Linked DNA regions of Saccharomyces cerevisiae S288C. The protein of the gene in region 2 interacts with the protein of the main gene of each other region in a biochemical or structural test. Each region holds a gene or a part of one and is shown on either strand. Other genes may lie near its edges. The genes, in order: RFC2, MUS81, CDC5 and MMS4.

Region 1 (4,821 bases), on a different chromosome or scaffold from region 2:
CTAGATATGTATGATTACGAAAACAGCAACGAACTAGAATATGCTCCAACTGCTAATTAGAAGAATCAGCATCATCAATAATGATAGTAACAATAATCATTGTATAATCTTGTATTTTATACTTTTCAAAACCCGCCATTTCCGTTATATATACAAATGTATCAAATAGCAAAAAAATTATTTATTTTCGAAACCGTTCTCTCGAGCTTCAGCTTTCAACACTGGTCTTCAAAGCATAGGAAACACTCACATAGAGATATCTAAAAACGAACGATAGCAGAATGAGCAACAACGAAATTGTATTTGTCACTGGCAATGCCAACAAGTTAAAGGAAGTGCAGTCGATTTTGACTCAAGAGGTCGACAACAACAACAAAACCATCCACTTAATCAATGAGGCCTTAGACCTGGAAGAATTGCAGGACACGGATCTGAATGCCATTGCGTTAGCTAAGGGAAAGCAAGCTGTTGCGGCCTTGGGTAAGGGTAAGCCAGTGTTTGTGGAAGACACTGCGTTGAGATTTGACGAATTTAACGGTCTACCAGGTGCTTATATAAAATGGTTTTTAAAGAGCATGGGATTGGAAAAAATTGTGAAAATGTTGGAACCCTTTGAAAATAAAAACGCTGAAGCAGTTACCACCATTTGTTTTGCTGATTCTCGGGGTGAATATCACTTCTTTCAAGGTATTACAAGAGGCAAGATCGTTCCAAGCCGGGGACCCACTACATTCGGCTGGGATTCAATTTTTGAACCTTTTGATAGTCATGGACTGACTTACGCAGAGATGAGCAAAGACGCAAAGAATGCTATTTCTCATCGTGGTAAAGCCTTCGCTCAGTTTAAAGAGTACTTGTATCAAAATGACTTTTAGGTGATGTGCTGAGAAGATAAGAGGAATTATGGATAGATTTTTTTTTTTTTATTCTTACTTTATGTCGCCTCTATATTCAATTATATAAAGATGCCTGTATATTAGAGTTGGGATATTTTAACCAATAAGTTTAATAATTGGATGTGCTCGTTCGTTCCGTTGTTTAATCTGGAATCCGTAGTAAACAGCAACCAAGATATTTGATTTTTGAAGTTCGTATCAAAGTTATCGTTGGTGATGTAATATTCATGTAGTTGGTTAACTACTGACGCAGCAGACCAACCGCTTTTCATAAACGTATTGACGTATTTCTTAATCTCATCAAAATCACCACTTTTGACTTTTTCAACAATTTCTATTAGAATGTCATGAGGTACCACACCAGCTAATTCTTCCACTTGGGTAGAAGTTATGTTTTTACCATCACCCAAGTATTGCGCCCCCTTGGAAGCGGATTGTAATAATGTAATGCCTCTTCTCAAGTCACCTGCCGAAATGTCCAAGATCCTTTCCAAAACTCCATCATCACATTTAACATTTTCTTGTTCGCTGATAAACCTCAAACGGTCAATGGCATTACTTGCGTCTAGGGCTTTGAATCTAAATTTGGAACAACGGGACGCTAGCGGGTCAATAATTCTTGTCACATAATTACAAATCAAACAGAATCTTGTTACTCCTGAATAGGTTTCCATTGTTCTACGTAATGCACTCTGTGCATCGGCAGTCATTGAATCGGCCTCATCGAGAATAATGATCTTATACGGTGGGCACGGATAGTTCTCCAAGTCATGTTTGCTAGGCTTGGATACAGTCAATCTTGCAAAATTTTTTACCTTTTCTCTTACAATAGAGATACCACGTTCGTCAGAAGCGTTCAACTCCAATATTCTTGATTTCATCAAGTCGGGTCCATATAATTCTTTTGTTAGCGCTAAAATGGTAGACGTTTTACCAGTTCCTGGGGGACCATAAAACAACATATGTGGTAGATTAGCTGACTTTAAGGTTTTCTTCAAAACAGTAACGGCATGATCTTGAGCTGTCACTTCATCTAGGTTTTTGGGCCTGTATTTCTCAACCCAGGGTTGTTGTGCCAATGATTGCTCTGCGGCTAACTTTGATATCTTACGCTTTTTATTTGGACCAAACCCTTCAAACATCTCAAGTGATTGCCAATACTTTCCCCCAGTATTTCTCGCTGTCTCTCTATTTTACTTCTCTTATAGCATTGACTTGTTCGCTTGAGTTACTTCCTGATTGCTTTGAAATACGCGAAGTAAAAGAGTGAAAAATAACGATGAGAAAGGTTTTTGATAGAAGAGAACAAAAAAGGAACAGTGTTACAATAGTATATAGAGATGTCGAATACTTGGGACGATGTATGGGCATCAGACAGTGATGTCGAAACTGAACGATCTCCAGATTTAGTGAAGTTAAGAGAGAATCATAGCAAGAGGGGGTACTTGGACGGAATAGTGAGTTCTAAAGAAGAAAAGCTGCAAGAGGGTTTCAATGATGGTTTCCCAACGGGCGCTAAATTAGGGAAACAAGTTGGCATAATTATGGGGATTTTACTTGGCCTACGAACACGTTTTGGTGATGAAGATGAGGACCTCAGTAAGGCATATATTGATGCTCAAAAAGAATTACGCATTAACAAAGTACTTAGTAAGTCCATATTTGATCCAAACTTTGACTTGCAAGAAAAACATCCGCTCATAACAAAATGGACTGATATTGCCAATACCTATTGTGAAAAGTACCATGTGCCATCTATCCAATAAAGTTGTTTTAAATGGAGTTGATTTCACAATTTATGTACCTTATATCATCCTTCATTTCACATAATGACGAGATATTACAAAAATAATGATAATAATAATAATAATACACAATACTTGCACACGTATACAAATGCGTAATACAAAAAAAATAAATAGTAAACAAAGCACGAAATGAAAAATGACACCGCAGTCACCAGAATGGGCACCATCCAATATAATGTTGACATAACCTTTCAATAGAAGTGGCTTGTTGGATCAGTTTATCAACCTGCTCAGGGACGTCTAATTCATTGAACCTCTTGATATCATTGCCCGTTAATTTATCTGTAATACGTCTCAAAACAAGCATTGCTCTGGCGTTTTTGGTCTCATTTTGTTGTTCTGCTTCCATATTTGCCGCTTCTTCGACAGTAATTGCCCCCTTCCTTAATAATTCACTAGGATTAATCAACGGCAAAGGAATTCCAGTTTGCTCAGTAAGTTTTTGTGGCGGTAAATCAAATCCCCAATGGATCAAAGGATCAAGCGCAAAAGCTTCCAAGATCGCCATTAATGATTCTTTATTATCTCTTAAGACTCTCATGACATTTTCACAAGTAATTCGGAAACTGCCTTCAATTCCACTAACTTCCATTGCGTATGTTAACATCCTAGTTAGTCTAAATGGCACTTTTTCTGGATACTTTTCTCTTAAGATGGCAGCTTCAAAACAATCGCCGAAATCAATGTGGATAACTTTACCGGTGATTCTATCTAGCATCAGGTTGCTTGGATGGCGATCACCTAGTCCCAGAATATAACCAGTCATGGACATAACTGCTAAAGATCTCGTATAAGTTGTTCTACGTTCTAGCCATGTCTCTGACGACCTACTCTTTAACCATAATATTTTATAAAGGTCTTGGCCTTTTGTATTATCTAAAGCGTACGTGAATACTTCAATTTTTTGTAAAAGAGTCAAATTCTCATAATCGGGGGCCATTTGTAACATAACCCAATGTTCAATGTTCAACGGAATTTTTTTGGCATCACGGTGTTCTCTGATCAAAACGTGGAATGTGTCACTATTTGGTACCCATCCTAGTAAACCAGATTTAGGCGACAATGGAATAGCCGGGTATTGTTGGATATCCAAATGTCTCTTGAAACACTCTGAATCATTCTTCAACAAAGTGTTAACTAGACCAAATAATTGCATAACAAGGCTATCTTGTCTTATATCTTCATGTCCCTTTAAAACGTATTTATAATCTTTACCGTCGCTACCCTTGATGGAGAATTTTCTTGGCCTTTGCTTCGAAGAGATCACAGAAAATAATGGCTCAAACTTCGCTATTCTAATGGTAGGTTTTCCTGGGAAATATGTCCCAGGAACAGCCAATTCGAGATCATGAGTAGCCAGAAGCTGGGGAGAAACATGCTGTAAGTCTAAGGTTTGTAACTGTGGTATTTGACGTGTTATTTTTCTGAAGACGTTATAATAAATATCCCAAGCTTGGTTCAAATTATTGATGTCTTTTGACTTTTTGTAGTTATTCAACCATTCGTAGGCATCGTTCAAATCTCTACCAAATGATTTCTGAAACGATACCTCACTTAACGTTTGAGGCTCATTGCCTAAGTGTTTATGTAAAGGTTCTAAAGTAGAAAACATTTTTTCTATGTTATGTTCAACGAAAAATTGGCGGCTCGCATCTTCCAGTCCTTCATACCATAATTCGTGCCATAGAACGGCTACTCTGATCAACTCGTGACTAACTAATTCTGCCTGGTTTACCAGGACTGGACTATGAATCCTAATTTTCTCTATTATTGAAAGAGCCGCTTTTTGTCTTGAAACAGATTCAGACTTGATCGCGACAGTTAAAGGATACACGAGAGCTTGTGGATGAGCTTTCCCTAAATCAGAAAGCAACGACAAAAGGGAATTACTCACCGTAGGATCTGGCTGATGTATACGAGAGATCAACTGTGGTAAGACTTCAAGCCAGTTCTCTATTTTCATCAAATTGAAGCCTTCATACATGGCTTGTGAGACTTCTTTAATACCACCAAAGTTAAATAAAAGAGTCAATAACCTCAACGTGTCTTGCAAACAACTTGTTTCTAATAGAGATATTGAATGAAAAAAGCCCTTGATCGCTGGAACAACATGTCTT
Region 2 (5,356 bases):
TATCTCCCAGGTAACATCCAATACTGCCAATGACATCGAGCAACTCCCATATGCTTTAACGTTCAAAACGTCGTTAATCTTCGTTGGTGCTACCATTGGTGGGCTTTTATTCGGCTATGATACTGGTGTTATATCAGGTGTTCTGCTTTCTTTAAAGCCCGAAGATCTATCTTTGGTAGTTTTAACGGATGTTCAGAAGGAGCTGATAACTTCCAGTACAAGCGTCGGATCATTTTTTGGCTCTATTCTGGCATTTCCTTTAGCAGATAGGTATGGAAGAAGAATTACTCTCGCAATCTGCTGTTCAATTTTTATCCTAGCTGCAATTGGAATGGCTATAGCAAGAACATTGACGTTTTTGATTTGTGGGAGATTGCTGGTTGGGATCGCTGTTGGAGTGTCTGCCCAGTGCGTCCCTCTATTTCTGAGTGAAATTTCACCTTCCAGAATCAGGGGTTTTATGTTGACATTGAACATTATTGCCATCACTGGAGGTCAATTGGTTTCCTATGTGATTGCGTCCCTTATGAAAGAGATTGATAATTCATGGAGATATTTGTTCGCACTTTCTGCTATTCCAGCTATTCTGTTCCTTTCAATACTGGATTTTATCCCTGAATCGCCACGATGGTCCATTTCCAAGGGAGACATTCTATATACCAGGGATTCTCTAAGAATGCTATATCCTACTGCATCTACATATCATGTGAATAGTAAAATTAAGCAGCTGATAATTGAACTCGATAAGTTACGACTATACGAAGATGCAAGTGAACCTTTACTAGTACAGTCCCAATCGGTTATTCGATACATGGATAGTTCAACCTCAGGAACTCTTAGCCCACCTAACATTAAAAGACTTTCCTCGAACACAGAAAGAACTAGCAACACAATGTCCTCCTCATCAGCATATCTATCGGCGTTGCGAGGCCCAGCTCCAAACGGTGCCCTGGCATCTAACAAAAAGAAAAGACACAGAATGGAGCCACGCACAATAAGAGCGTTAATAGTAGGTTGCATGTTAATGTTTTTCCAGCAAATCACTGGCTTTAATGCTTTTATGTACTATGCGGCAATAATATTTTCCAAATTTAATATAAAAAACCCTCTACTGCCTCCAATTTTGATTGCCTCAACGAACTTCATATTCACTTTTTTCGCCATGTACACCATGGACTCTTTGGGAAGAAGAGCCATTCTTTTGAGAACAATTTTGATTATGACTGTTGGGTTACTTCTTTGCAGTGTAGGTTTCGGTCATGACCAAGTCAATTTACTTTTAATTTCTGTTGTAATTTATGTTGCAGCATATGCTTCTGCGATGGGCAGCGTTCCATGGACCTGTGTGGAATTTCTCCCCTTGAACAGGAGATCATTTGGGGCATCATGTATAGCCTGCACAAATTGGTTGACCAATGCATTTGTTTCAATGACATATCTGAGCACTATTAACACCATTGGTGATGAAAATACAATGCTCATTTTTGCTTTTTTCACAGTTTGTGCCTGGTTTTTCGTATATTTTTGGTATCCAGAAGTCAAAGGTTTGTCACTGGAAGAGGTTGGAAGGGTTTTTGATAATGGAATTGATGTTCATTATGTCTTTCGTACCTACCATTGATGAGTTGTCAAGTGGCATCATAATGCATTGGGGCGGCTTTCAGATATGCTTCTGGTATATTTGTCCGTGAGAAATTAAGGCTTCTTTTCTTATATATGTATATATTAGTTAAAAGAATATCATCACTTTTTTCTTTATAAAACCTTGCAGGGATGACTATATTTCAAATTGCTAAAGTTTACCAAAAGCATCATATATCTTTTCTGAAAGAGATTTAGTAATTTTCTTCGCACCAGGTGCATCTCCCAGTACATTAAACATCAACAATTTAGCCTCTTCTTCCGAGGAGCACGTTTTATATGCCATTAGTATTTTATTCAGGGTAGGAAATATTTCTTGGATGGCTACTGCTTTTTCTAAAGATATACCTTTAACAAGCATTAAAACATGTATAGTTAGCTCACCAACCGTCTTTAGATCGCCTTTTCCCATTAGTTCTTGAAAGCATTCAAGATTATGACAGCATTCAATACCGCCTTTTCGTTCGAATTCTCGACGAAACTGTAGAAGCACCTTTTTATAATCGTCCTTGCTTTTAAGGTCACTTGGAAATATAACTATGAGATCTTTTTGAGAATAGTGATGAGAAATTACAGTATGCAACGCATGTATCTTTTCCACAGTTTCATCCGAATTGCAAGTTCTTATCATGGAGAATTTGTAATACACTAAAATGACCCAAAGCGCGGTCTTTAGGGCCTCATTCATATTTCCAATGTTGCCACTCATAGTCTCCTCAATGAGATAGTATTTGTGTTCACAGCCAGATTTCTCTAACCTATTTTTTTGCTCCATAAACCTGTTATCCCTTATACTTAAAGCTAAATCGTCTAGCCTTTTTCTTTCAACTATGGTGTTGAGCACACACTGCAACCCGGTATTTTTATTCTTGGCAACCCATATAATATCACCCAAAGCGAGTTGCCTTATCTCTGACTTCATACCTTTTCTTTCAAATGCCCTTGAAAAAAACTCACGATCAGATTGTGACTTTATTTCTCTGTGATCAATAATTGGGAAAACTTCGAAATCACCACTACACCACAATTCGTAACTTACTCCGTTGTACCTTCTCCTCTTTATTGTGCTTTTAGCCTTTAATGCGGAATCAGGTACTGTTTGATCATCAGAGACCTCTTCCAATTTATGAGAAGATATATTAGTTTGGCTATTCAGTCTATCATTTTTAAATACATTGTTCTGCAGCCTTTGCGGCGTGCTCAAATCTTGAAAAGTTATATCCAGCATGAATGAAGTGTTATTTATATCGCAGGGCTCTTCTTCCTTACCATATTCACCACGGAGGTCAGTCAGATTTGCTGTGAATTCACTACTTTCATTCCTGGTTACGGAATACTCGTTAGGTTCTTCATTTTCTTTTGGAAAAGAGATTCCGTCTGCCGTCTTTAAGCTCTTTGTTAGTTCTACACCTTCCTCTGTTAGCGAATACCGTTTTGGTCTACCTTCCTCAAGAACCAACGAATGTTTTTTAAGTGCAGCAATAGACGACCAAGCACCGTAGAATTCTTTTGTGGAGAAATTTGGAGTCATACAATGGTCACTGTATTTTCCTGCAACCTCGATGATTTGCTCTTTACTAACGCCTCGAGGAATGGCATTAAGCTCGAGTAAGGAAAGAAGGATAGCGTAGCCTCCAGATCTTTTTTTGGGTATATACTTCCTAGTTTTTCTCTTTTTAGTTCCCTTCTCTTCGGGAGCTTCATTCTTATCATTTTCGCATGAGTTTACTATGCTACGCAAAGCTGTAGTAGTCCTCTTTGGTGGTCTGGTGCTACTTGTCTGAGTTAAGGAAGGAGCCTCAACGGGAGATATGTGGTGAATTTTGCAATAGTTCCGTAATTTCGTATCTAATCTCTTTATTATTGTATTGCCAATTCCCTTAACTTTCTTTAGATCTGTAGGATAATAAAATGAACCTTCAGCATTTTGTAAATTCCTTTTTGCTTTTTCATAGGCTATTTTGAGTTGTTCTTGTTTAGGGGTTAATCCGTCAACTAATTCTTGTAACCATTCAATATATAGGTCTTTTAAGTTTGATGAGAGTTCCATGCTTTCATGCTAGGAATGTGTGTTCGTATCAATCCTTTGAAACTTTGTTTACGCCAATGTTGATGCCACTCTTAAAGGGCATTACCGCGATCGGTAAGAAAAGAAGTTGATGACGCGAATAGGCAAAGCAAGATAAATCATAGTAACTATTATACAGGGGAAGGCAGATATCTAATATGGAAATATGATTAAATATGAAATAACACTATAGATGGTAAGTATACGTGAGAATAAACTACAAAAAAGTCAAAAGGACATAAAAGGTGCCCAATACATTACGACAAAAACTGAAAAAGTTAAATAATTAAAAATTGTTTAACCATTCTTACAATTTGTCGTAATATTCTTGCCAGCCTGGAACTTCTTCCTTCATACCGTGTCTCTTACGAGCAGCAAGAACAATTTCACCAGCCTTAGAGGTTGGGTCCAATGGGTCAGAACCTAAAGTGGACCAATGGTCGAAAACCATTTGTGGGAAAGCTTGACCACCAGTAGCTTGTCTCAATTCACCAGTGAAACCGAAAGATTCGTTAACTGGCAAGTAGGCCTTGACGGTAAACAATGGAGTACCTGGTCTTTGTTCTTCAGAAACGACTTGACCTCTCTTCTTGTTTAAGACGGAGTAGATACCACCGACGGCTTGTTCTGGACATTGAATTTCGACCAAGAAAACTGGTTCTTGGATCTTTGGATCAGCCAACAAGAAACCAGCGTAAGTAGCTCTTCTCATGGTTGGGATGATTTGACCACCACCTCTGTGGATAGCATCGGCATGTAAAGTAACATCCAAAATGTTAACTCTGACAGATCTCATTTCTTCACCGAAAATTGGACCTTCCTTGGTAGCCCATTGGAAAGCAGCAACAACGGAATCCTTGATTTCGTGCAAGTATTGGACAGCCTTAGTTTGGTCAATAACCAAGTTTGGACCGTTACCGTCTGGACCGAAACACCAGATCTTTCTGGCATCGGTGACATCCCAACCGTAGTCGTCAGCCATGATTCTAGCTCTGGCCTTGAAATCATCTCTTGGGTTGATGATACCGTTTTCAATAGCCAAAGAGACTTCTTCGTCAATTGGTTCAGCCTTCAAGTAGATTCTGTTATGCTTGTTTGGAGACTTGGACAAAGCAGTTTGAGAAGATTCACTTTCAACAGTTTCTCTGTAAGCGACAACTGGTGGGGAGATCTTCAATGGAACACCAGCGTGGTCGTGTTCCAAATCTTGCAAACAAATTTCCAAATGCAATTCACCGGTACCAGCAACGATATGTTCACCGGATTCAGACATATAGGTCAAGACACATGGATCAGACTTGGACAATCTCTTCAAACCTTCGACCAATTTTGGTAAGTCGTTAGCGTTCTTGACTTCGACAGCGACTTGCACAACTGGAGAGACAGAGAATTTCATGACCTTCATGTTGTGAGCAGTTTCACTGGTGGTCAAAGTACCAGTCTTCAACAAGAATTGATCGATACCGACTAAACCGATAATGTTACCGGCTGGACAGTCATCGATTGGTTCGACAAATCTACCCATCATCAAAACAACTCTTTGAATGGCCTTGATGAACAAATCGTCCTTCTTACCTGGAACGTAGTTTGGACCTTGGATTCTGACCTTTTGACCGGACTTAACAGTACCGGCAAAAACTCTACCGA
Region 3 (5,724 bases), on a different chromosome or scaffold from region 2:
TAGCAAATAACTGCCCATAATAGTATTCTTAAGTTTGTAGATACATGTCAAGTAAGCCAGCTTTTGATAAAACTTAAAAATTGGTAAACCGCGGATGTACCAAGTGAATAGCTTTCAAAATTAATGTTGTCACTCTTCCAATGGGCACCTGTAAGAATAATTAAAAAGAAATCTAGGTTCAAAACAATATTTTTGAGAAAATCTCAGGAAGCGACAGGTTATCATCCCATACATACAATATGAATACAAAAGCATGGCAATTTTGAATAGATATAGCTCTAGAACCGCTCAGGCGAAAAAAAACGCTATATGAGAACTATTGAAAAGGAAGAACTAACATGAAAGATGTTTGTTCATTTCGTACCTTTAGAAAAAGGGTATTAATGCTAGGGGTAAATATTATATATTATCTTCGTTAAGGGCAAGACCATTTATTTTATTTAGTATTAGTTATTAATGGGGCCCAATCAATGGACTGGTAATTTCGTATTCGTATTTCTTTCTACTTTAATATTGGTTTAATCTACGGTAACAATTGTGGACTTCTGCTTCAAACCTTCCTTTATCAAAGTTAGTTTCTCTCTAAAGTTACTTTCTGGATATCCTGGGATCTCGCCATATTTTAGTACTTCAACTAAGGGATATGTGGTGCTTTCATGGGAGGGAGAAATGTAGGTCACCAATTTACCTCCGTCGGATATTGCCATTTTATGATGATCTTTGAAATTGAACTGGAAAGTACCATCACTTAGTTCAAACATAACAAATGGTTTATACCTTGTGTATCTTCTCAAAAATACATCATCTTTATGATATTCTTCTCTGCCAAACGTAGATACTCGGCTCAAATTTGCCTTCATGTACTTGGCAAAAAAATCAACTACTTCTAAATGTCTACTTAGCTCTCGTGGTTTTTCGCTCAATAAATAATGACTTGCTACCCAACCTTCCCGATCGTCATAACTAATATACCAAAACTCTTCTGCATCTGCCAATCGGAGAACTGTGGTGCCATTATTAAATAAGACACCAATATCCTCTGTTGATAACTGATAGGAGAATCCGTGTTTGTTGGAGTAGTCGACCCACTTGGTAACTATCATTGGGTGTTTAATTTTAGGCAATCTTGATTTCGGAAGACCTCCCATTTTATACTGAGCTTCTGCTTCTACAATGCCATTCAAAGTAAGATGACACTCACTGGCTAATATTCTCAAGGAGATTTCTGATTTAATGACATTGGTCGATGTAGCTATTAATTCTTTTCTCAAAACGGCCTGTTGTGCTCTACGTATCCTTGCTTCACGAGCCAAATCGTTTAATCTTCTTTGTGCCTCTATATCAACAACCTCCTTATATTTCTGTTTCGTCCCGCCAGGGGATAAAGAATGTGGTAAAAATGGTCTGTTTTGGTGGTACTCTTCTAGTTTATCGATACTAGATTTAATTGAAGAAATATAATCCCTCTTTTGACGCTGAATTTTATCGCTGCTCATGCTTTCTAATAGTAGAGATTTTTCCATGCAATCTTTGAAGTTAACCAGTGACTGCTCTTCAGGAATATCCTCAAAATTTGGTGCTTCTGACATGACCGTCGAAGGAATAGATGGTGGGAAAGTTCCCCTAAACCATACATAATCCATAATTTCAGTCAAAGAGGGCCTTTCTATTGGATCTAAGGATAGAATGTCTCTTATTAAAATCTTACCTTCATCTGAGATTGGTTTATCTCTTGGAAACGAAAAATCACGACATTTGATTCTTTCATAAATAGTGTTTACATCTCTTGCTTGGAAGGGTGGCTTACCAATCAACAAAGCATAAAGCATAACACCTAATGACCAAATATCTACTTCAAATGAATGTCCAGAATGCTTACCCATCAACACTTCAGGTGCGATGTAATTAGGTGTTCCGCATATGGTGTATTTACGTTCACTTTCATTCGCCAACACAGCTGCCAGACCGAAGTCACCAATCTTTAAGTTATAGTTTGAATCGAAGAAGATGTTACCAAGTTTTAAATCTCTATGTATAACTCTTCTTGAATGCATATACTTAATTGCACCACATATTTGAGTGGTGAAAAATCTAACTTCTGGTTCTGTTAAAACTTTTCTTCTTTTTAGTAATTCCATTAATGAACCGTTGGGGCATATCTCCAATAAGATATAGACATTGCTATCATCCTCAAAACAATCAATAAACTGAACGATATTTGGATGGGACATACTTTTATGAATTTGAATCTCCGACAACAACTTTTTTCTTGTCTTCTCTGATTTAATTGAGGCTTTAGCAACTGTTTTGGCAGCAAAAATTTCGCCTGAATCGTCCTTAATTTGGAAACAGCGAGCAAATCCACCTTCACCTAAAAAATGACCTCGGTGATAGTCTTTTCCTCTTGTTTTGATTAATGAAGGTGGTGTTTTACACAAAGCTGATAACTTTTCCCTTTTCTTTTTTTGAGCTGGCTGGTGGTGATGATCATTATTCGGATCTAGTCTCTTTGTTTGTTTAAAGTGATTTTCTTTTCCTACGAGGTCTGCGGTATTTCCCTTTATTGGGGTGTGAACTAACTTGGAACGGGTATTCAATTGCTTATCATTGATAGCTTTAAGAGGACCCAACGACATCTTTATTCGACTTGATCTTACTCTGTTCTTTCTTCTCCACGGCTGTGATTTTTATTCTCTATGAATAACAAATGTAACGTTTATCGATGAATGAAAGAGAGTATATATAGAGAAGATATAAGAAAGCCAATGTTTTTGTGTACAAAAAATAATACTCAGCTCAATTATACAAACTTGACTATGCAGTTTAGCTTTTTTGTCTTTTCTTTTTTAAGTTTTCTTGAAAGTTAATGTAGTATATGCCACAAAATTGAAGGATGAAAAAATAGGAAAAAAAGCAGAATCAGAATTTGACACAAAAGGCTTATTGTTCTTTGAAACTGCCGCTTGAATTGGATTTACTTTCTCAGTGATTCTATATGTATTGTACGAAAGTTGAGTAGCACAAGAGTAACTGTTCAAGATATGCCTTGTTTCAAAGGATGTACATTCAAAGATCATCCCAGGTCCTCGAGATATTTATTCGTTCTATATTTTGGATTTTCTTTATTGGGTTTGTTTTGTTTTGACCCTTTTAGGTAATATCTTTTGACAGAGAAAAGTCCAAAAGTTCTTCCGGGTGATGCTACATAATGCCCTACCCGGGCAACATATAGAATAAGGTATATAAAGTAATAATATGCAGTGAAGTTACCACCGGGTAACGCATCTAGAACAGCTGAGATGAAAGAGGATAGGCTTGATCGCAGATTTTGCCCGCCCTATCTTTTCAATGTTCCTTCAACAATAACATAAATTTTGATGTAAAAATATGCTGGCGTCCTCGTACGATTCCCTCTTCATTTATCACAGAAGATGGTGATGATTCTACACATCTGGAAGGCAATAACAGTGCAACTTCATTTTCCGAGGTTCGGTTATGTCATGTGTGCTTTTATACGGCAAACGCCACCTTGAACAAAGGTATAAAAGAAAAGCGCTTTTTCACTCCACCGCAATCTCCGCGACCTATATAAGCCTATCACTCGTACAGTTTATAACCTTTAAGAAAAAGGATTAATATTTCGAACAAAGAACAGAACAAGAAAAGCAACAACAGCAACAAAATTCTAAAATATGGCACGTTCAAGAGGATCATCAAGACCTATATCGAGATCGAGACCTACTCAGACAAGGTCCGCTTCTACCATGGCGGCTCCAGTTCATCCACAACAACAACAACAACCAAATGCCTATTCACACCCTCCTGCTGCAGGTGCCCAAACGAGACAGCCAGGTATGTTTGCGCAGATGGCCTCCACTGCTGCAGGTGTTGCCGTTGGTAGCACCATTGGACACACCCTAGGTGCAGGTATTACCGGTATGTTTTCCGGATCCGGGTCTGATTCCGCTCCTGTTGAGCAACAACAGCAAAATATGGCCAACACCTCCGGCCAAACCCAAACGGACCAGCAGTTGGGAAGAACTTGTGAAATAGACGCGAGAAACTTTACACGTTGTTTGGATGAAAACAACGGCAACTTCCAGATATGTGATTATTACTTGCAGCAACTAAAAGCCTGCCAGGAAGCTGCACGTCAATACTAAGTTTAAAAGCTCAAAAATTTAGAAAATATTCACTAAAATCATACATTTCGGTAATGTTCTTGTTTTAACCATGTCATTTGACTTATTTTTTTTTGATGGTTTTTCACAGAATCGCATACTCCACGTGAGAACAAGAAAAAATGAAAGGAATAAGGACTAAATGTCTTATATATATGGATATTTATTTGTTTTATTTTGTATGTAAATAACTTTTATAAATCAAATCATCCAATTTATTGACTTCATAATCATTTAATCATCTGCACCCCCACCGCGCGGTGTGGCTGACATTTCCTATGAAGTTCTCAACAGGGGAGGGTAACGTAGTACCTTCGAAGAGTTTGTTTATTTACTATATTTTATGCTCTTCTTCAGAAGGGCCTGTGATACGCATGTTTCTCAAAAAGACACCTAGTGCAGCTGAACCGGCAAAGTAAAGCTTCTGAAAGAAGACATGTCAATTTCTCTATTAGGTAGAATTGTTTCACAACAATTCTCCGGCATACGGGCGGCTGAGCCAGGGAGATCTCTATATTTACCGTTTACCTTACTATTGAAACAGCCCGGTGCTTACAAGGTGAGCCTACACAGATATGTACATAGCACCCAAACGAAGAGCCACTTGAGCTTTTTAATGAATAATAACGATATAACACCTTTTCAAAAATTTACAGTTAAAGTTCTCAAAGAGCAGTGCAAATCAAGAGGGTTAAAATTATCAGGTCGCAAATCAGATTTGCTACAAAGACTTATCACGCACGATTCATGTTCAAATAAAAAAAGTAGTGTGAAGATAAATGAACCCAAAAAAAAGAGGATATTAATAAATGATCCAATCAAAATCACGAAGAAATTGGTTAGTGATAAAACTTTTAGAACTATTGAAAAAAATATTTCTTCACTGCAGAACACACCTGTTATCGAAACTCCCTGCGACGTTCATTCACACTTGCAACCAAGGGATAGAATATTCTTATTAGGATTTTTCATGTTATCGTGTCTTTGGTGGAACCTCGAACCTCAGGAATCTAAACCTACCATTGACCATTAGAAATATAATTCTAGCACTGTAATTAATTGAACTGTATATTCTTTCATAATTTATTAAGACACTTTTACTTTTCTCTACGCTCTCAATAAGTTATTGTTGATCCAGATCATCTCGATATTGCCGTCATTTTCGGTTAAGGTAGGCGCTTTTACGAAACACATGCCAGAAAAAAAAGTGAGGAAGGAAGGTACAATGAAAACAGGGTGAACGCCACTTCTTTTCACCCAAGTTGTAAGAGAAATAATAGTAAAAGCAATCGAATTTGGATTCTATAAAACACCACTGAGGCGAAAAAAAAAGTAATGGACAATTACGAAGGCAGTGATCCTTGGAATACCAGTTCTAATGCATGGACTAAGGATGATGATCACGTCGTTTCTACCACCAATAGTGAACCCAGCCTCAACGGAATCTCTGGTGAGTTTAACACCTTGAACTTTTCAACACCTCTGGACACAAATGAGGAGGATACTGGTTTTTTACCGACCAACGATGTGCTTGAAGAAAGTA
Region 4 (5,035 bases), on a different chromosome or scaffold from region 2:
AGGCATCTCGCGCTGACAGAAATTTGCTTATAAACCAGCGATTGGCTATATCTAAAAGAGCACTCATCGTCAGTCAGAAAGCCATTACCTTTCAACGAAAGAGTAAAATAGAAAAAAAAACACATACATAACTATGGAAAAGCTATTACAGTGGTCTATTGCGAATTCTCAAGGGGACAAAGAAGCTATGGCTAGGGCCGGCCAACCTGATCCTAAATTGCTACAGCAGTTATTCGGTGGTGGTGGTCCTGACGATCCAACCTTAATGAAAGAATCCATGGCTGTTATTATGAATCCGGAGGTTGACTTAGAAACAAAACTCGTTGCATTTGACAACTTTGAAATGTTGATTGAGAACTTAGATAATGCTAATAATATCGAAAATTTAAAACTGTGGGAGCCATTGTTGGATGTTCTTGTTCAGACGAAGGATGAAGAACTACGTGCTGCTGCTTTATCCATTATTGGAACGGCTGTGCAAAACAACTTGGATTCGCAAAATAATTTCATGAAATACGACAATGGTCTGCGAAGCCTTATCGAAATAGCTAGTGACAAGACAAAGCCACTCGACGTGAGAACAAAAGCTTTTTACGCACTATCTAATCTAATAAGAAACCACAAAGATATCTCAGAAAAGTTTTTCAAATTAAATGGGCTCGACTGCATAGCACCTGTATTAAGTGATAACACCGCCAAACCAAAACTGAAAATGAGAGCCATTGCCTTATTGACCGCATATTTGTCATCTGTTAAGATTGATGAAAATATAATCAGTGTGCTGAGAAAGGATGGAGTAATTGAAAGTACGATTGAGTGCTTGTCTGACGAGAGTAACTTGAACATCATAGATAGAGTTCTGTCTTTTCTCTCTCACCTGATATCTTCCGGAATAAAATTTAATGAACAGGAATTGCACAAATTGAACGAAGGTTACAAACATATCGAGCCTCTAAAGGACAGACTTAATGAAGACGATTATTTAGCCGTAAAGTATGTATTATGATTACGTCCGTAGAAATAAAATGATATTACATTCACCATTTCATATTATCTTTAACCGGAATCTCGAACATTTATTATTAACACTGTTTTATTTTATTACGAATATTTATCAATAGTACTTTCTGTAAAATGGAATTCATTAAAAAGGTAAGGAGGGGGAAATAGAGCTGCAGTGATTTTCAAAACGACTGCCTTAAGGTATGTTCTTATATACAAAGTTTCGTTCGATCATCATTCAATAGTATCATTTGGATCAGTACAAGTAAACAGTTTGTACAATCTTTTTTCTACTGCCTCAGTCATCAAGTATTTACCTTCGTTGTCTGATTGCAGTCTTCCCTTTTCAATATCTTCAAGTAATGATTGAAAACTGGGGTATAGGCTCACGACATTATTCGCCTTCATTTCAGGCATTCTCCCTATCTGATGAAAGGTTTTCTTTAGCGTTTCTGTACTATCCTGAGCGGATTTTACATTCAAATGAGCATATTTCATATACCGAATTGCGGGATCCATGCGCTGTTTTCCAATTAATGACACTAGGTTCGGCAGAGAATTAATAAACTCCATATGTGAATTTACAGTATGTATTTTGACATGCCATTCTCTATCAATGAAGCGCAATCGTTGCTCTAAATCAAATTTTTTTATCCCTAATTTTCCAACTTGGCTTGATTTTTTACTTCTCGGTCTTAAAGCTTCTTCTGTTCCTGACAATCGTTGTTCTACCCTAGCTTTGTACTTTTCATTTTCTAATTGGAAAATAGCTCTTTTGAGTTTATTTATATCGCTTAGTATAAGAATCACATGTTTTCCATTCTTTGAGAAAAATCGTATCTTCCTATATAATTCTTTCTTTTGTGAAGTGTATTGTTCAAAAAATTCTTGCGCATCATAATATAGAATCAAAACGTTTTCTTCAACTATTTTGGGATCACAGGGGTAATAGAAATCGTTACTAAAGTCGTAAATACTGTCACATTTTCGAAGAAATCTTAAAAGCGGCATAGAATCGTTATAGCTTGATTGCACAACTGCTGGTGCCAATTGTTGTTGCAGATCACTGTCTCCTTTTTTAAATAACTGGAGAAGGCTAGGCGAAAACTCTATAATCATTTGAGAGCGTGCTTTTATATTATCTCGATATATCTGGTTAACTCGCTTAAAAGCATTTTTGTTTTCTTTTAACAAGTGTCGTATTTTGTTTTTTGAGTCTTCTCTAGTATAGTATTGCCCATAGGCAATATAATTCTCTAGTTGTGATACCTCTCTGGCAGTATTTTTAGTACATTTGGGATCCTCAGCCGTTAATGTTTTCGAGCGTTTTGCTTCCTGAAAACAATTAGCGTTGCTAAAGATTGGTTGACTACCTGTCCTTACTATGTTAGACCCCTTTGCAGGGGTTGAAAGTACATCAGTAGTAATACTATCTGAGGAATCGAGAAATTTAGAAAGATTTAGTTCTACTGTATCAGGTAGTTTGGTGCTGTTGATTAGTGTTCTTGATAACGCTATGGTTCTCTTCTTTCCTTTCGGAAGGTGTTCTTGCTCGTCTTCACCTTTATTGTATACCCTTTTTGCCATGGATGTCCCATCTTCACCATGATTTTGTTTTCCTGCTGGTTTCAGGCTATTATCTGGTGAAGAATTTTCATTAGCAATCGAATTGTGCTTTTCTTCAGTTGGGTTCTCATGTTTTACTGGAGACAGTGGAAAATCGAACAGTATATCAGCTGCTCCTATCTGTGATTTCGGACTATCACTAATGTCACTATTGGTTTTTCCGATTCCTTGTGTCTTATATTCGCAGTCAACAGCAATAGGCTCTGGATTTTTTAAAGACTGTACTCCCCATTTCTCTGCGATGTCCCTCAAATTGTATTGTGATTTGTTGTGCTTCTTTCCACTCGACTCAAGATCAGCTGACCATTCATCACTTATTAGATCATCCAAAAGTTTTTTCGCGTTTCCTTTTGCATTATTCTCATTTCTGAGAGACGAATCTATGATGGAATTTACTGTTGTAGAAAAGTCATCTAGCTTGCTTATACTGATATCTTGGAAGAACGGCGCAGAAAGTTCGATAGATTTGTTTAGGTCAACATTCTCAACATCATTCGAAACAGATTTTCTTTGCGGTGATGATGGAATCATCTCTGCAGAGCTTACATGTGCCCTTTTGCACTCATCTTGATCCATTGATTCCGAGAGAGCGATAATTTCAACATTTGAGGGTCCATCGATGATCTGAATACTGGCATCGTTTCTTGAATCTTTGTCCTCAACAAAATCAACGATCTGGCTCATTTAACTAGCTGCAATATGTGACTACTATTATTCTATACCATAATCCATACATTGTTCTTTATTTACGTATACAACCATTTTTTTCGTGAAAAGGGTACTTCAACGCGTTGCAAGCCCTTTCCTAAATGATCGAAAATGTTTAAGGTGAATACAAATTTATACGCATTTAGAATAAAGAAGCTGAATAAAATAAAAAAAATTATTGGAAGATTCCAATAAGCCCTGAGTTATCACAAGCAACCAGCAAAGGTGTCTCATCAACTTCACATGTAGATATAGAATTTATAATATCATGATGATATAGAGAATCATCTACTGAATGAGTGCTAGTACGTTTCATTTTTCTCAATAACATTGTGAGATTTGCCGTAACTTGTGTAGGAATAAAAACGTCACTGAATCTTGAAGGACTTATTACTGCTTTAGAAGAAGAAAGCTCATTTAGGCTAAACATAACAATGGAACTTGTTGCTTCATCGGTAAGAAGAATTTTATCATTAGATACTGAGATAGTGCTTAGTGCGTTTAAAGACCTGATTCCACAAAAATTTAATTCTTCTAAGCCTTTCTCAATTGGTAAAAAGTGCTCCATAGATGGCTGTTCATCAGAATTTATGAAAGCATACTGACAATGCCCCTTAACAAAATTCCATATTGTTAGAAATGTTTTTGAACTACCTCCTACAACAATTACAGAATTCTTTCCATAAAACTGACAAACCTCCACATGCGTGATTGGTGCGTGGTCCCCAAAGGACCAACTCCTTATCAGCACGTTGAAACGGATATCCCATATATCAATAATACCTCTAGTCGTCCCCAAAATTAGGACACAACACTCTTCATCGATACAGATGCTTGAAACGGCACCATGCCTTGGAGAATTCTCTATAATTTGTAACCTCTCCAGGGTTCTAATATCAAATATAATAACCCTTGACAAATTCGTCAATGCTACTAGTAGAGATTTTTCCTCATTCACAAATGCTCTCATTCTCACTGCGTATTCATTTTTACCAAAATTCTTCAAGTTAATTTTCCTGATGCATTCGCAATTCAAAAATTTGACTTCACTTTCTTGTTGGTAATGATTAACCTTTAATACAATTATTTGTCCATCTTTACTGGAAACGGCAAACGCGTCAAAGTTAGGAATCATGGTTATCTGAGTTACGGTAGAGGAGCAGTCATAAGTTAAAGAAGAAGAGTAAACCTCGCCCACGATAATCTCTTTCAGGTTCCAAATCTTGATTACACCTTGATCTGAACCTGTTATTAAATAGGGTGTTTCTCCTGGAGAAACAGCAGAAGACGTAATAGAATTGGGTTCGTTTTCCATCAAAGTAGCTATCAACTTGCCCCTCAAATTACCCATGTTTGGACTCCGTACAATCTCTTGAATAGGCCCAAACTCCTTATAATCTCTCAGAGGAGGTAAAATTTTGAAAGTCGATAGGAATTTTTCTATGCTTTCAACGTCGCCTTCATAGCTGTTGCTGACGACTACCTTCCTTTCTGGTTTAACATTTGCATTATCTTTCAAGCCATGATTTGGAGAATGCATGTGATAGGACGTTGGTTCTAACTGAACAAAAACGTTCTTCAAATTAGAAGTAGTAGTGGCAATGGACTTATTTTTGAATATTAGTGATCCATTTATGTCCATGACGGTAGATAGCTGTTTGCTACCGTTAATATTTAGCTTATTGCTATCTTTCTCACT

What was found.
Region 1: the proteins of MUS81 (region 2) and RFC2 form a complex in vitro, tested with the Saccharomyces cerevisiae proteins (one study listed by BioGRID).
Region 3: of the proteins of MUS81 (region 2) and CDC5, one has a biochemical effect on the other in vitro, tested with the Saccharomyces cerevisiae proteins (2 studies listed by BioGRID).
Region 4: the proteins of MUS81 (region 2) and MMS4 form a complex in vitro, tested with the Saccharomyces cerevisiae proteins (5 studies listed by BioGRID, with this or other methods).

What each region holds. Positions count from the first base shown.
Region 1 is NC_001142.9:564,860-569,680, reverse strand, and holds RFC2 (replication factor C subunit 2), read right to left. Parts: upstream 2,039-4,821; coding exon 977-2,038; downstream 1-976. Other genes in the region: LIA1 (deoxyhypusine monooxygenase), read left to right, coding at 1-60; nucleoside triphosphate pyrophosphohydrolase HAM1, read left to right, coding at 282-875; YAE1 (Yae1p), read left to right, coding at 2,237-2,662; phosphatidylinositol kinase-related protein kinase TOR1, read right to left, coding at 2,853-4,821. UniProt on the Saccharomyces cerevisiae protein: Component of ATP-dependent clamp loader (RFC and RFC-like) complexes for DNA clamps, such as the POL30/PCNA homotrimer and the checkpoint clamp DDC1:MEC3:RAD17 complex.
Region 2 is NC_001136.10:1,244,419-1,249,774, reverse strand, and holds MUS81 (Mus81p), read right to left. Parts: upstream 3,692-5,356; coding exon 1,793-3,691; downstream 1-1,792. Other genes in the region: CIN10 (Cin10p), read left to right, coding at 1-1,621; EFT2 (elongation factor 2), read right to left, coding at 4,017-5,356.
Region 3 is NC_001145.3:268,501-274,224, forward strand, and holds CDC5 (polo kinase CDC5), read right to left. Parts: upstream 2,637-5,724; coding exon 519-2,636; downstream 1-518. Other genes in the region: YMR001C-A (uncharacterized protein), read right to left, coding at 2,847-3,077; MIX17 (Mix17p), read left to right, coding at 3,693-4,163; AIM34 (Aim34p), read left to right, coding at 4,618-5,214; MVP1 (Mvp1p), read left to right, coding at 5,517-5,724. UniProt on the Saccharomyces cerevisiae protein: Protein kinase required for the cell cycle where it is involved in mitotic exit. A component of the fear (CDC14 early anaphase release) network which promotes CDC14 release from the nucleolus during early anaphase. Phosphorylates SCC1/MCD1 and NET1.
Region 4 is NC_001134.8:439,792-444,826, reverse strand, and holds MMS4 (Mms4p), read right to left. Parts: upstream 3,313-5,035; coding exon 1,237-3,312; downstream 1-1,236. Other genes in the region: Hsp70 nucleotide exchange factor FES1, read left to right, coding at 134-1,006; ubiquitin-binding serine/threonine protein kinase VPS15, read right to left, coding at 3,512-5,035. UniProt on the Saccharomyces cerevisiae protein: Interacts with MUS81 to form a DNA structure-specific endonuclease with substrate preference for branched DNA structures with a 5'-end at the branch nick.